Mus musculus: one gene and its partner. The protein of the gene in region 1 interacts with the protein of each later gene in a biochemical or structural test. Links are inferred from orthologs where the notes say so. Each region holds a gene or a part of one and is shown on either strand. Other genes may lie near its edges.

Evidence for each region.
Region 2: of the proteins of Gsk3b (region 1) and Lrp6, one has a biochemical effect on the other in vitro, tested with the Homo sapiens proteins (2 studies listed by BioGRID, with this or other methods). The link is inferred for Mus musculus from reciprocal best matches to the Homo sapiens genes GSK3B and LRP6.

Annotation. Positions count from the first base shown.
Region 1 is NC_000082.6:38,188,351-38,195,163, forward strand, and holds part of Gsk3b (glycogen synthase kinase-3 beta), read left to right. Parts: intron 1-3,177; coding exon 3,178-3,284; intron 3,285-5,546; coding exon 5,547-5,644; intron 5,645-6,813. UniProt on the Homo sapiens protein: Constitutively active protein kinase that acts as a negative regulator in the hormonal control of glucose homeostasis, Wnt signaling and regulation of transcription factors and microtubules, by phosphorylating and inactivating glycogen synthase (GYS1 or GYS2), EIF2B, CTNNB1/beta-catenin, APC, AXIN1, DPYSL2/CRMP2, JUN, NFATC1/NFATC, MAPT/TAU and MACF1.
Region 2 is NC_000072.6:134,448,945-134,453,569, forward strand, and holds part of Lrp6 (low-density lipoprotein receptor-related protein 6 precursor), read right to left. Parts: coding exon 4,606-4,625; exon of another isoform or gene 3,762-4,605; intron 2,391-3,761; exon of another isoform or gene 2,137-2,390; coding exon 1,842-2,136; 3' UTR 1-1,841. UniProt on the Homo sapiens protein: Component of the Wnt-Fzd-LRP5-LRP6 complex that triggers beta-catenin signaling through inducing aggregation of receptor-ligand complexes into ribosome-sized signalosomes.

The sequences.
Region 1 (6,813 bases):
CTTGCTATCAAGGCTGACAACTTGAGTTTGATCCCAGGGACTTAACTTGGTCCTGCAAGTTGTCCCCTGACTGCCACAGGAGTGCTGGAGTGCTAACTTTCAAGCTCAAAGGCTGTGGTAGCACTTGCTGATAATCCTAATCACTCAGGAGACTAAGGTGTGGGAGGTCATTAGTTTGAGGCTGGCCTAAGCCATGTAGAGAAACTGTGCAAAAAGAAAGCCACTGTCAGGTCAGTACTGTATGCTTGGTAGCTTTTGTTTTAAAAACACTTTTGTGACTACTTGTGTACAAACATGCGTAATAAACATATGTAATATTCCATTCATGATTATCTGGAATAGGATGTCTTAGGATTATTATGTACTTGGAAAACTTGCATTCTCATTGATTATTCTTCAGTATTCCTTGAGTTTATGTAATATGTATATCTACTCCATCTTCATTACAAATAGATTTTTTAAGTTATACGTTTATATATATATATATATTCCTTTAATTTCATACTTAACCTCTACAGGAGTACAGTAAAATACCAAGATGCAAGATTTTTCTCTATTACTTAATATTTAATGTTTATATTTTTCACTGTTTCCTCATTTTTGCAGATTCTAACAAGTTTGATTTTTTTAAAACCACCAATTTCTTTGTCATATATTGTTACTAGTAGTAAAACCCTCATGCTTTCTCTTTGTGTAGTCAGTAGCTATAAGCCTCCCACCATGCAGTCAAGCCTATATCCACCATAGGACAGACCATCATATTCCTTCTTCCATTCTGCTATAGCCACCAGTGGTAACCTCTGCTCTTTCTCCTGAGACATCTTTCATTATAACTTGGATGCTTTTTCATCCTTGCTAGAATTATTTTTCAATTTAGCACCACAGATTATATATTGACTAGTACCTGCTGGTGTCTGTATTCTTTCCTCTTTATATAGGCTTCTACACCAAACCACAGATTAGATTGTGGGTTTAGCATCAGATACATTTTCCACAGGTGTAGGGAGGTATTTGGAAAAACCGAGCCAATCTGCTGTCAGTAAGTTCATGCTTCGTCTTAGTCATGCAGTTTCTTCCAAACCATTCCTACTTAGCAAGCCCTATCCCAGGATCTCAACTTTGCAGGCTGTGGCTCTAGTGAACACACTAAAGCTTTTATTTGTTGGTTGAATTGTGTGCTACTGCTTATTTCACGTATGAAAAGGCGCCCGAGTCACATGGGGTCTCTTACTGTGGAGAGTAACTGCCAAGACCTGCAAGAGCCACCAAGTGCAAGTTCCTCTTCTCACCACCGAGTCAGAGCACTGTTGTTAGCACTGGGACTCTTGGGAGATAGGGTAGCTGTGCTCTGATACATTTGAAAGAGGGCTTTCACGGGTGTGAAATAGCTCATTCTTTATCAACTCTGAGGTCGGACTTTGGAGACACTTAAGGTGGAAACGTAACAAAACAGCCTTATTTTCTTCTTAATTATTTTTAACTAGGTGTAACAGGTCTGACAGTAGCTGAAATGGGGTGTGAAAACCCCATTTTATAGAGGCTAAGTGGGGTGTCTAAGGACCAGCCTTAGGTGAGACCACAAGGCAGTGTCAACCTCTCACCTACAAAGGAAAAAGTTAGCTTCATCGGTAATGAGGGAAAAGAATATACAGGCTGTCAAGGCTTCCAGTTAGATAATTTGGAGTTATTGGGAAGTTTGTATTTTAGGAATCTGTTTTATCCATTAAGAATGTAGCTCTGGCTGTCATAGCAGCTTGCTGCTTCTGCCTCCATGTAGAGCACTCAGATGCTGAGACTCAAGGCGTGGGCCACCGAGTCCTGCTAGTCATTTGTTTGAGAGCTGGAGTTTAAACTCCACATCACAGACAACTGTGTTTTCAAGGAGCTATCCCAGCCCCAGAATGCACTTCTGAAGAGAGGAAAGTCGGTTATCTAGTACACTAAACCTTGATTTTTTTTTTTTTTTTGAGAGTCTGAAAACCTTACTGTTGTTAATATAGCAAATACTGTTTTATCTGGGCCTAAGAAGAAGGTTAAAATTTGAAACGGATGATGAAAGGAAAAACAAATCAAGTTTAGAGTCATCATTGACTATAAGTAAATTGAAGGAAAAGAAACCCCACCCCAAGACTGTCTCCTCACCTGTCTGGGTCTCCTCCTCCTCACTGTTACCTCAGATTTTTCACCTTTTTTGGCATTTATTTACTTGTTGTTTTTTCCCTCTTTGTTCATTTGGTTTTCTTGCAGTATTTTGTTCTGTATCTGATGCTGCTGTCAGAACAGCTCCTAGAGCGGCCTGCTTTTTTGAGATGGAGTTACCTAAAAAGACATTTCAAGAGATACTGTGACTCACTTCAGTGTTTAAAATATATACTGTAAGCTACTTTAGGAGGAAGGTTTTAATAATATGTAAACTTAGAGCTGCAGAGATGCAGTTGATAGGGTCTGAGTCATTTTCCCCTAAAGTTGAATGCCTTTTCACAGTTTGTTTAGCAGTAGGTGTTTAAACAGTAAACCGACTAGAATGTGGAAGCATGCATGTCTTGGCTGTGTAAGGCTGAGTCGGTCATCCTGAGTCAGAAGACCAAGTTGAACAGAGTGGCCAGATCCCCCACCCCTTTTTTTAAAAAGCGTATAGATGAGGAATATTGATATATTCGCCTATTCTGATCTGGTAATATTCTTTTGTTGGAGAAGACTACTTTTTAATTTTCTGACCTTTATATTTTATTTATTAATTATTTTTGAGACATGGTCTCACTGTATATCCCTGGCTGACCTAGAACTCACTACAAAGTGGCCTCCATCTCACAGAGATTCACCTATCTCTGCCTCCTGAGTGGTGGGATTAAAGGTGCACACCACCATGCCTGTCAGCCATTTAATATTTCACAAGTAGAATTTAGGAAATGGGGAAGCAGAAGAAATTGACCATTTGTATCCTTTTGTAAGTTTTTAATCTCTTTGTTCCTTAGCTAACACCTGACACTCACTTTAAAAATCACTTTTTTAGATATCAGTTTGATGAAATTGTGTATTTCTTTTGTTGGAAACAGTTTCAAGTGTGTGGCATTATTGCAGTCTTACAAGATTTAGATGAACATGTGGTATGTGAATGTAAAAGTAGTCATTTCTTTAAGGTATATATTTTAAAAATGTTTTTTTTTTTTTCATCAGTGCAAAGCAGCTGGTCCGAGGAGAGCCCAATGTTTCATATATCTGTTCTCGGTACTACAGGGCACCAGAGTTGATCTTTGGAGCCACTGATTACACGTCCAGTATAGGTAAGTGCCGGGTCTGAGTGCAGTGGGTGTGACTGTTAACTGCAGCCTGGTTCTTACCAGTTCTCTGACTCAGCGAGGGCAGGGCTGCGGAGGACACCTTTGCAGAAATGAAGAGAGTTCATTTTCTTTCTTACACCTTAGAGTTGATGCCTTTCTGGTTTTATGCTTTTTTAGTATTAGAATTATACAAGTATTACTTTGTATTGTAGTTGCTTAATGCATCTATTTGACGCTAAAGTTTCAAATAATTTTTGATAATCATGTAGAAACATTACTGAGGCAGGGAAGGACGGCAAAAAGACGTGCTCACAGCACGCGTGGAGCTCAGCCACAGCTGCTCGGAAGGAACTTTTGTCTGCTTAGTTACTAATGGGCTCTGTACTAGTTTTCTAGCTCTCCTGAAGTGTTTATTCTTGAGCCTAACCTACTTAGAAAACTTGTTAATTAATAATGTTACTTTTAAAATGTTAATATTATAATTAATAGGGCAGTAATATTTCTGAATTCCTATAATGATGCATCGCTTAATTTTCGAGCAGCTTAATTCATTAGCTTTTCAGGTTTAAAAGTTTCACTGGAGATGTCTAACGATAGAAAGATTAGAGACAGTTGAAATCTTCATTGACCTTATCTTCTTAACCTGTTCTAGTGCAGTTGCTGTGTTAGTAGACAAAAACCCTTCTCCCAATCAGTTTATTTAATGTATCATGGCAGGGGTGGCGGGGAGCTGGGCTTCACTGATGTGGCTGGACTAGCTGACCCGTGGGTCTGAGACCATCCTGTCTTCAGCTCTCTCTACCATAAGCCACCTCCACAGCCCCTTTCACTTTGTTTCTGATTAGAACCTGTTAGTCCTAAATAGAAACTAAAGCATACATATTACACTCCTCCCCCAGGAAAAAAACCCATAGTCATGGGGGCGGGGCAAAAACCAAAATAAAAACAAAACCTGGCTAATTTAGTACAGTGCTTTGTCCTCCTGATACGCACAGCGGTGCGTTGTTCTTTTTCTTTTCAGAAAGGGCAATATGCCAAAGCATCTTTTCGCTGATACTGGTGCTTTTTACACACTAGGTCATTTTATTGTTTATGCTGTTAGTGTAAAGTTACATTCTAGGACCTGAAAATGTCTGCAACACTTAGGGCTCTACAGCCCACACTTGATGAAACCTGCCAGAGGAGAGGAGGGAGGGAGTGTGTGTGGTGCCGTGTGTGGTGCTGTCTTACTGTGGCTGTAGGAACATGGCGTATGTGACTGAATAAGTGAGAAGTGCTGCAGAGAAGCTGACTGGAGAAAACAGTATCTGAGCTGCCACGTGGAGACCCTGATTCTGCCTGCTCTTCATAAAACGTTACTCAAGTACTGTAGGCGACAGTCTTTCCTGGGCTTACTAATTCAGCTGTCTCCAAGAGAAAGTTTAGTCCTTTGTCCTTGCAAATGCCACTGGATACAGTATTTGATTAGTATTCTAGTCAAATATTTGATACTAGTTAGCTATATATGATCTATGCACAAGATAATAGATTGAGTTGTGCCAGGGTCTACAAAAATCTGAACAGTCCTTCTAAAATAATCAGAGCCAGATCACCTGGCACATTGTAGAAAACATGGATTTGGATCTAAGATGCTTGCCTTTTAAATTTGGTTTATGCGTGTGTTTTTGCATGTATGTATGCATACCACATGCATACATTAGTGCCTGTGGAGGTCAGAGAGGGTGTCAAATCTCTGGAGATATAGGTGGTTGTGAGCCATTACATGGATGCTGGGAATTGAACTAGGTTCTGTGCAAGAGCAGCAAGTAGTCTTTCTTAATGGATAAGCCATAACTGTAGCCAGGATCTTGCTTCTTAAGACTTTGTAAGATTTATAGAAGACTGGGTAGGTAGTGTACTTGCCTTTAATCTCAGTACACAGAAAGCAGATGTAGGCAAATCTCTTGTAAATCCAGCCAACCCGGGGCTACATGTACTGAGTCAGTCTCTGTCTCTGTCTCTCTCTTTTCACTCTTTCTCAGGCATACAGAATAGGTTTGTGAAAGTTAAATATTTATAAAAATAATTATTTATTAAAAAATAAAAAGGATTCCAGTATATGAATAGGTACTTTTAAAAAATTAACAATGTTTGGAATGAAACCATCACTGATTTTGACTAAATTATTGTCATATTTGGATTTAATCAATACTATGCGATCTAAGTTAAATATACATTTCACTTCATATTTAGTGTGATAAACTTTTCTTTTGTTTTTTTCTTCAGATGTATGGTCTGCAGGCTGTGTGTTGGCTGAATTGTTGCTAGGACAACCAATATTTCCTGGGGACAGTGGTGTGGATCAGTTGGTGGAAATAATAAAGGTGAGATGGTTGATTTACACTTTTGTACTTTTGAACCAAAAATGTTACACACATACACACACACACACACACACACACACACACAAGCACACAAAGCAATACCTTTACAGTGGGAAAGGAGGCTGGGGACGTGATTCAGAAGTGAAAGCCCTCGAGGTGCAAGCATTAGAAGTAGAGCCAGCTCCCAGAGTAGAGACCCACATGAGTGTTTCCTGGGCTTGTCATTCCCACCCAGAGAGCCCTGAGCAGGCTGCCTGGGAGGAGAAGCCATGTCTACAAGCTCTCCGCTCGATTGAGACCCTGCTTAAATGAATGCAGTGGAGTCGTGACCAAGGACAATTGCTGAGACCTACCTAGCCTTGGGCCTTCATGTACAAGCATATAGAGGATAAAAAAGGAGAAAGGGGTTGTAGGTCATTTAACAAGCTGTGCTACAGAGCAGGTTGGGGAGGGGGGAAACATTGGCTTCCTTTTTTAAAGATTTATTTTTATTGTATGGATTCCTTTCCTTTCCTTCTTTCTCTCTCTCTCTCCCCCCCCCCCTCTTTTTGGCCTGTATGTGCATTTGTGTATTACATGTGTTCATAGTGCTCTCCAAGGCTAGTAGAGAGTGTTGGATCGTTTGGATTCTCAGACTGGAAGGATTACAGATCATTGTAAGCCGCTGCCACATGGGTTCTGGGAATCAAACGTCTGGGAAAACAGTCTGTGCTAAGACACCTTTCCAGCCACGTGATCAGATTATTTTAAGATCTGTGTCATAATTTAACATTGCTTTTCCTTTTAATATCAGGAAAAATAGGGATTTAAAGCTACTGGGTCCAAATATAGTTGAAGAGGTCATCTTCCCTAACTCTCTGGAATTGGGTTTCACAGCTGAGACCACTGTGGTCACCTCTTTTTGTTGTTGTTGTTGTGTTGGAAAACAGGGTTTTCCATGTAGCCCTGGTTATCTTGGAACTCACTCTATAGACAATGCTGGCCTTGCACTTTCAGGCTGAACTCTTAACTTTGTCAACAATACTGCTTTCTTCTTACTGATTAGAAACAAGTGGTAGAAATCATGTAAGGACAAAGCAATCTTGGAGAAGGGCTTTTTCAAATGTACAAAGTACTCTTCAGTATTTATGAGACCCTTTGTACTTTTTAAATATATGTGTGTGATACAT
Region 2 (4,625 bases), on another chromosome or scaffold:
CTTATCTGACTGAAATGCAGGACACAGGTAGATTGCCCTTTACTTAGATGCAAGGCCCCTGATTCTCACTAAGCTGTCCACAACAACTACGCATTAGTCAGAAAGGAGTTTTTTCTCTTTAAAAACGTTCTTAGGCGTTTTGTTTTGTTTTTTTAAAGTCGCTCAAACTCTGCCAAATTCTGAAATCAATTCTTTCATTGTTTCCCCTTAGGCTCTGAAATTCATAGCTACAATTCAATATATAATTTTTAAAATGTATTCAATAATTAATCGACACCTGTTAAGGTAAAAATCATACTAGCTTAAAAAAAGTTCAGCTTTAGGAGAGGAGTGCTAGGCACATGTGAAAGCAGGAAACTAGTCCCCAGCAGGGTCATCCCACAGCCAGCCCCAACAGTGACAGACATAGCGGCCCGGTATGTGACAGTAGGTCAGGCATGTGACAGGAGACTTCCATTGTCTCCACTGCTCAAATTTCTGCAGCTGAGAAGTTCACGGTGTCTTCTCATTTAATCCCACTGTTAAATCTGTGAAATTATCTTAATCCATAATGGGGTAGGAGAGAGCACACAGAGAGACACAGGAGGAGACTAAGGACAGACTGTGGGCCGTGTGAACACACTCATTCACAGCGCATACCGAGAAGCTACCTCACAGCACATCGGCAGAGCTATGCCTGCAAACATCACTCTGAGAAAAGCTGGTCCACAGAAAGTGAAAATGTCACAAACAGTTCATCTAGGGGACGCCTACTAACAATAAGAATTTCTGTTTAAACAGACTGTTTCTAACGAGAGCACATTGAAATGTTTTACTAACAAAATACATAAAATGATTTCACACTGTGATATTGTATGCTGCAAGGATACAAAGCTAATTTACAAGAATATAACAGTTAGATTTGTGATTTTTAAGCATTCTTATATGTTCTAAAAAGACACTTTAATGAGCATTAAAACAATTGTGGAAGACCAATAATATGGCTAACTTTTGATTATGCAAAAACAGCCAACAACTTAAAAACTCAGCCAATTGCTGAACGAACAGAGTAGGTATACTGAAATCAATTCAATTTCGTGTTTAGTAAATTCCATTTAATCAACTCCTCAGATTAAAAAGCTTAAATAAATCATGGCTCTTGGCAAAACAGTCTCCAAGGTGTTGGGAGGCAGACCGTGAGAACAGCTGGTGTTACCATGGACTGTGACAGGCGAGAGCTCTCAGCAGCTCCCGCGAGAGACGCTTCAGCTCCTACAACAGCAGCACTCAAAACGGATCTCACAACTATCTATTTTCCTCGTGAAAATTGCTGGATTCCTGGAGAAAACAAAGCCCTGTGTCCAAAGTTAGTACTGTTATTTCTTCTTTCATGGGTTCTCGACTTGTCGGCCCTCAAATGTTAGTTAACCCAAAGGCAATTTGGCTACTTCCAAGTTTGCTACTCTAAGATGGAATTACTTTCTCCTTTTTATTTTTTGGTATCGTTAAAACCCAGACACTCCTGGTCAGTGATGCCTTTCTTTTCCTGTTTCCTTTGTACTCAGTCTCTTCACTGGGCTTAAGGCATGCTCTGTGTATTTAGTTTGCAAAAATAAAACTTTTAGTACAAATTTATTTTTTATACAAACTTTTATGGCACAAGCAGCAAAACTGCTGTTTTAAGAAAATATATAAATATTCTTTTCTTCTGTACAAATATCTCCAGCACCCACCCACTTTATAATGTTAACTGTACAGAGTCTGCCTCACTCTTCTCTATAGCTCCCTCCCCCCCTCCAGATCTCAACCAGATGTGTATTTACATGTCCCGGTGGAGGCAGTCAGAGGAGGAGGGGCCCTCCTCAGGAGGAGTCCGTGCAGGGGGAGGGTGGTGGCGGGTAGAGGTGGTGGGAGTAACTCCTCTCCGTGTATGGGGAAGGGGGGCAGCTTTCATAGTTCTCCTCCGCTGACAAGTACTGGCTTCGGGGTGTGGGCGGTGGGGGCACAGGTTCTGAGTCATAGTTCACGTCACTGGTGTAGCCCTTGGCTGTTGCCACCGAGGTCATCCTCCGGCTAGGAGCATAGTCACTGTCACAGACATCAGTGCTGCAGGGTGTGGTGGGCGGTGCAAAGTGCCGGTAGCTGTACGGCCTATAGCTAGAGCAGGAAAGCAATAGAGCACTGCGTTAGTTTTATAGAAGCAGACTGCATCAGAAATCAGTCTGAAGGCTGGGAGCTGGTGCAGTCGAAATCTGTGTAGGGGATGGGTAGTTCGCGTGACTGCTGTGTGCAGTGAGCCCATGGGTTCAATCCCCAAAACCATCACAACCAAAGAGCCACTGCTCTTCACAGACATGGATGGAGAGGCAACGAATAGCACATCAACAAAGGAAGACCTACGCAAGTAAAATGTAAGTAGAGGCAAGTAAAAAGGGATGGAGTTGGAGAGCAGAGAGGAACTCAATTGGGCCCCAAATAGCTCTTCTATCTTGAGGTAAATCTAGATGCGTGTGCTTGCTGTGCACGAGGCCCTGGGTTTGACCCCCAGACATATTGAAAAATAAAAATAAAAAAAGAATAAAAGCAAACCAACTCAAGAGCTGTACCTATCGATGCACTTTAGAAAAGCACTCTGGTTTTCACTGGTGCCGGGAACTGAGCCAGGGCCTTTCCCCCAGAGCAAGTGGTCTACTCTCAGCTCCAGCCTTGGTGGTCTAACCTCTGCCACACACCTCGCACTCATGATCTCAGCAGCTCCTGGAGCAGCAGTGTGTAGAATGGGTCTTCACAGTCTACGCTCTCACATTCTTCAGTCATTCATAATTTGCCTGATAGGTAAGTTATGATGTCTGAAGACTTCATTTCTTTTCAAAGTAAAATATTACACGATTCAGGCTAAACTCCCAGTGAGGGCAGATCTATCCCATCACTATCATGTGCAAAGGGAAACCCTTCTAACTTGCAAGTAGTCGTTTTGATTTCTGTGGGTACCCGGGTATACAGTCCTAAGTATGGTTTCAATTATCAAAACGATCAATTTAAATACTCAGACAGTGCGTGAACTTTATAACAGAACAAGAGTCTAACATGCTTACACTTGTTTACCTACCTTCTTAAGTAACCTACAGTTCATAAATTTGAAATGTAATTATCTAAAAAAAAGTGCCGTGGTGAGGAACACTCCATGAAGGCAGAGCCGACTACAACACTGACTTATCCCCGGATGACCTCTTAGGACTCTAATTGTAAATATGGTTAAGCTTATCTTATACTTATCCTAAAGATTCATGCATTTACTGTCTCTAAAATACACTGACTGCAAGACCAGGGGCAAGGGCCAGAATAACTGACAGGGAGCTCATAAGCTTCCTGGGGGCACAGCACCCAGAATTTGCTGCCCGCAGCCTGGCCCCGCAGCCGCCCTGAGCAGGATTGGGGCTTGCAGCTTCAGTCCAGCCAGGACACTGTCAGAGCGCTTTTCCTGTTCTGTTTCACCTTTCTGTCCAAGCAGGTGTCAAAGGCTAGCAAGATTTTTGGAATCAGAATTTTAAAAGCTAAATACTTCCAGTCTTATAAGAAAAGGAAAAAAAGAAAATTGGTCAACAAAATTCTGTAAATCTAAAAATCATGGCAAATGACAAAAAGGTTAAGACAGATTTTAGACCTAATACAGGAAATGATTTAAAAACTGTTTCATACTTTGATCTATGTTTTATTCTAGCAGAATTAAATAAGTTGTAAATAAATAATTTTAGGTTCTGGTTCTCCTTTTCAATTTTCAGGCCTTTCTCTGCTTTTGATTAGAACATGCCTGGGGCATTCACGACCTTACAGTAACTCATGGACAGACCTATTGGATGGAGCCAGCCCTATTGGTCCTAGCTGACGCTGGCAGGCAGTTTCCACTGTACCTCCGTCTCTGCAGTCACCCTGATCCACGTGACTGAAAGCAAACATTATTCTAATGGCATCGGCACTGAGGCCTGCAGACACAGAATGTAGCACTCCCGACCTTCTGCTGATGTTTGAAGAGCTTGGAAGAGTGACCTGCTCAGCACACTCACATGAAGACAGGCCACCATTTCCTGTTGCCACTTACAAATATGCTCTGTTCATTTTAAGGAAACTTGTTTATAACAGGCAACTAACTACATAAAACTTTCATTCCAGGTCACAGTGACGTATGTAAACATGGACCAAGCTTCTTCTCATTTCTCTTTCAATGTGATGCTCCTGCTGTATGCAAGTTCTCACGACGCTCTGAACTGTCTTGCCTAGTTCTCAACTGCATTACTCAGCTTGTGTAACTGCCTATTAAAATACAGAATGGGTCTGGAAAAGAAGGCTCAACAGTTAAAAGCAGTGACTGCTCTTCCAGAGGTCCTGAGTTCAATTCCCTGCAACCACATGGTGGCTCACAACCATCTCTGATGTGATCTGATTCCCTCTTCTAGTGTGTATCTGAAGACAGCTACAGTGTACTCATATACATAAAATAGATAAATAGATCTTTTTTTTTAAAAAATGCCCAGAGAAAGAAAGGATTTACAGGTGAACAAAAATCCTGTTCTTTGGTGATCATGGTCTGTATGTTCACAAACAGAATATGGAAAGGGTGTGTCTTACCTGTAGGACCTATGTGTGGA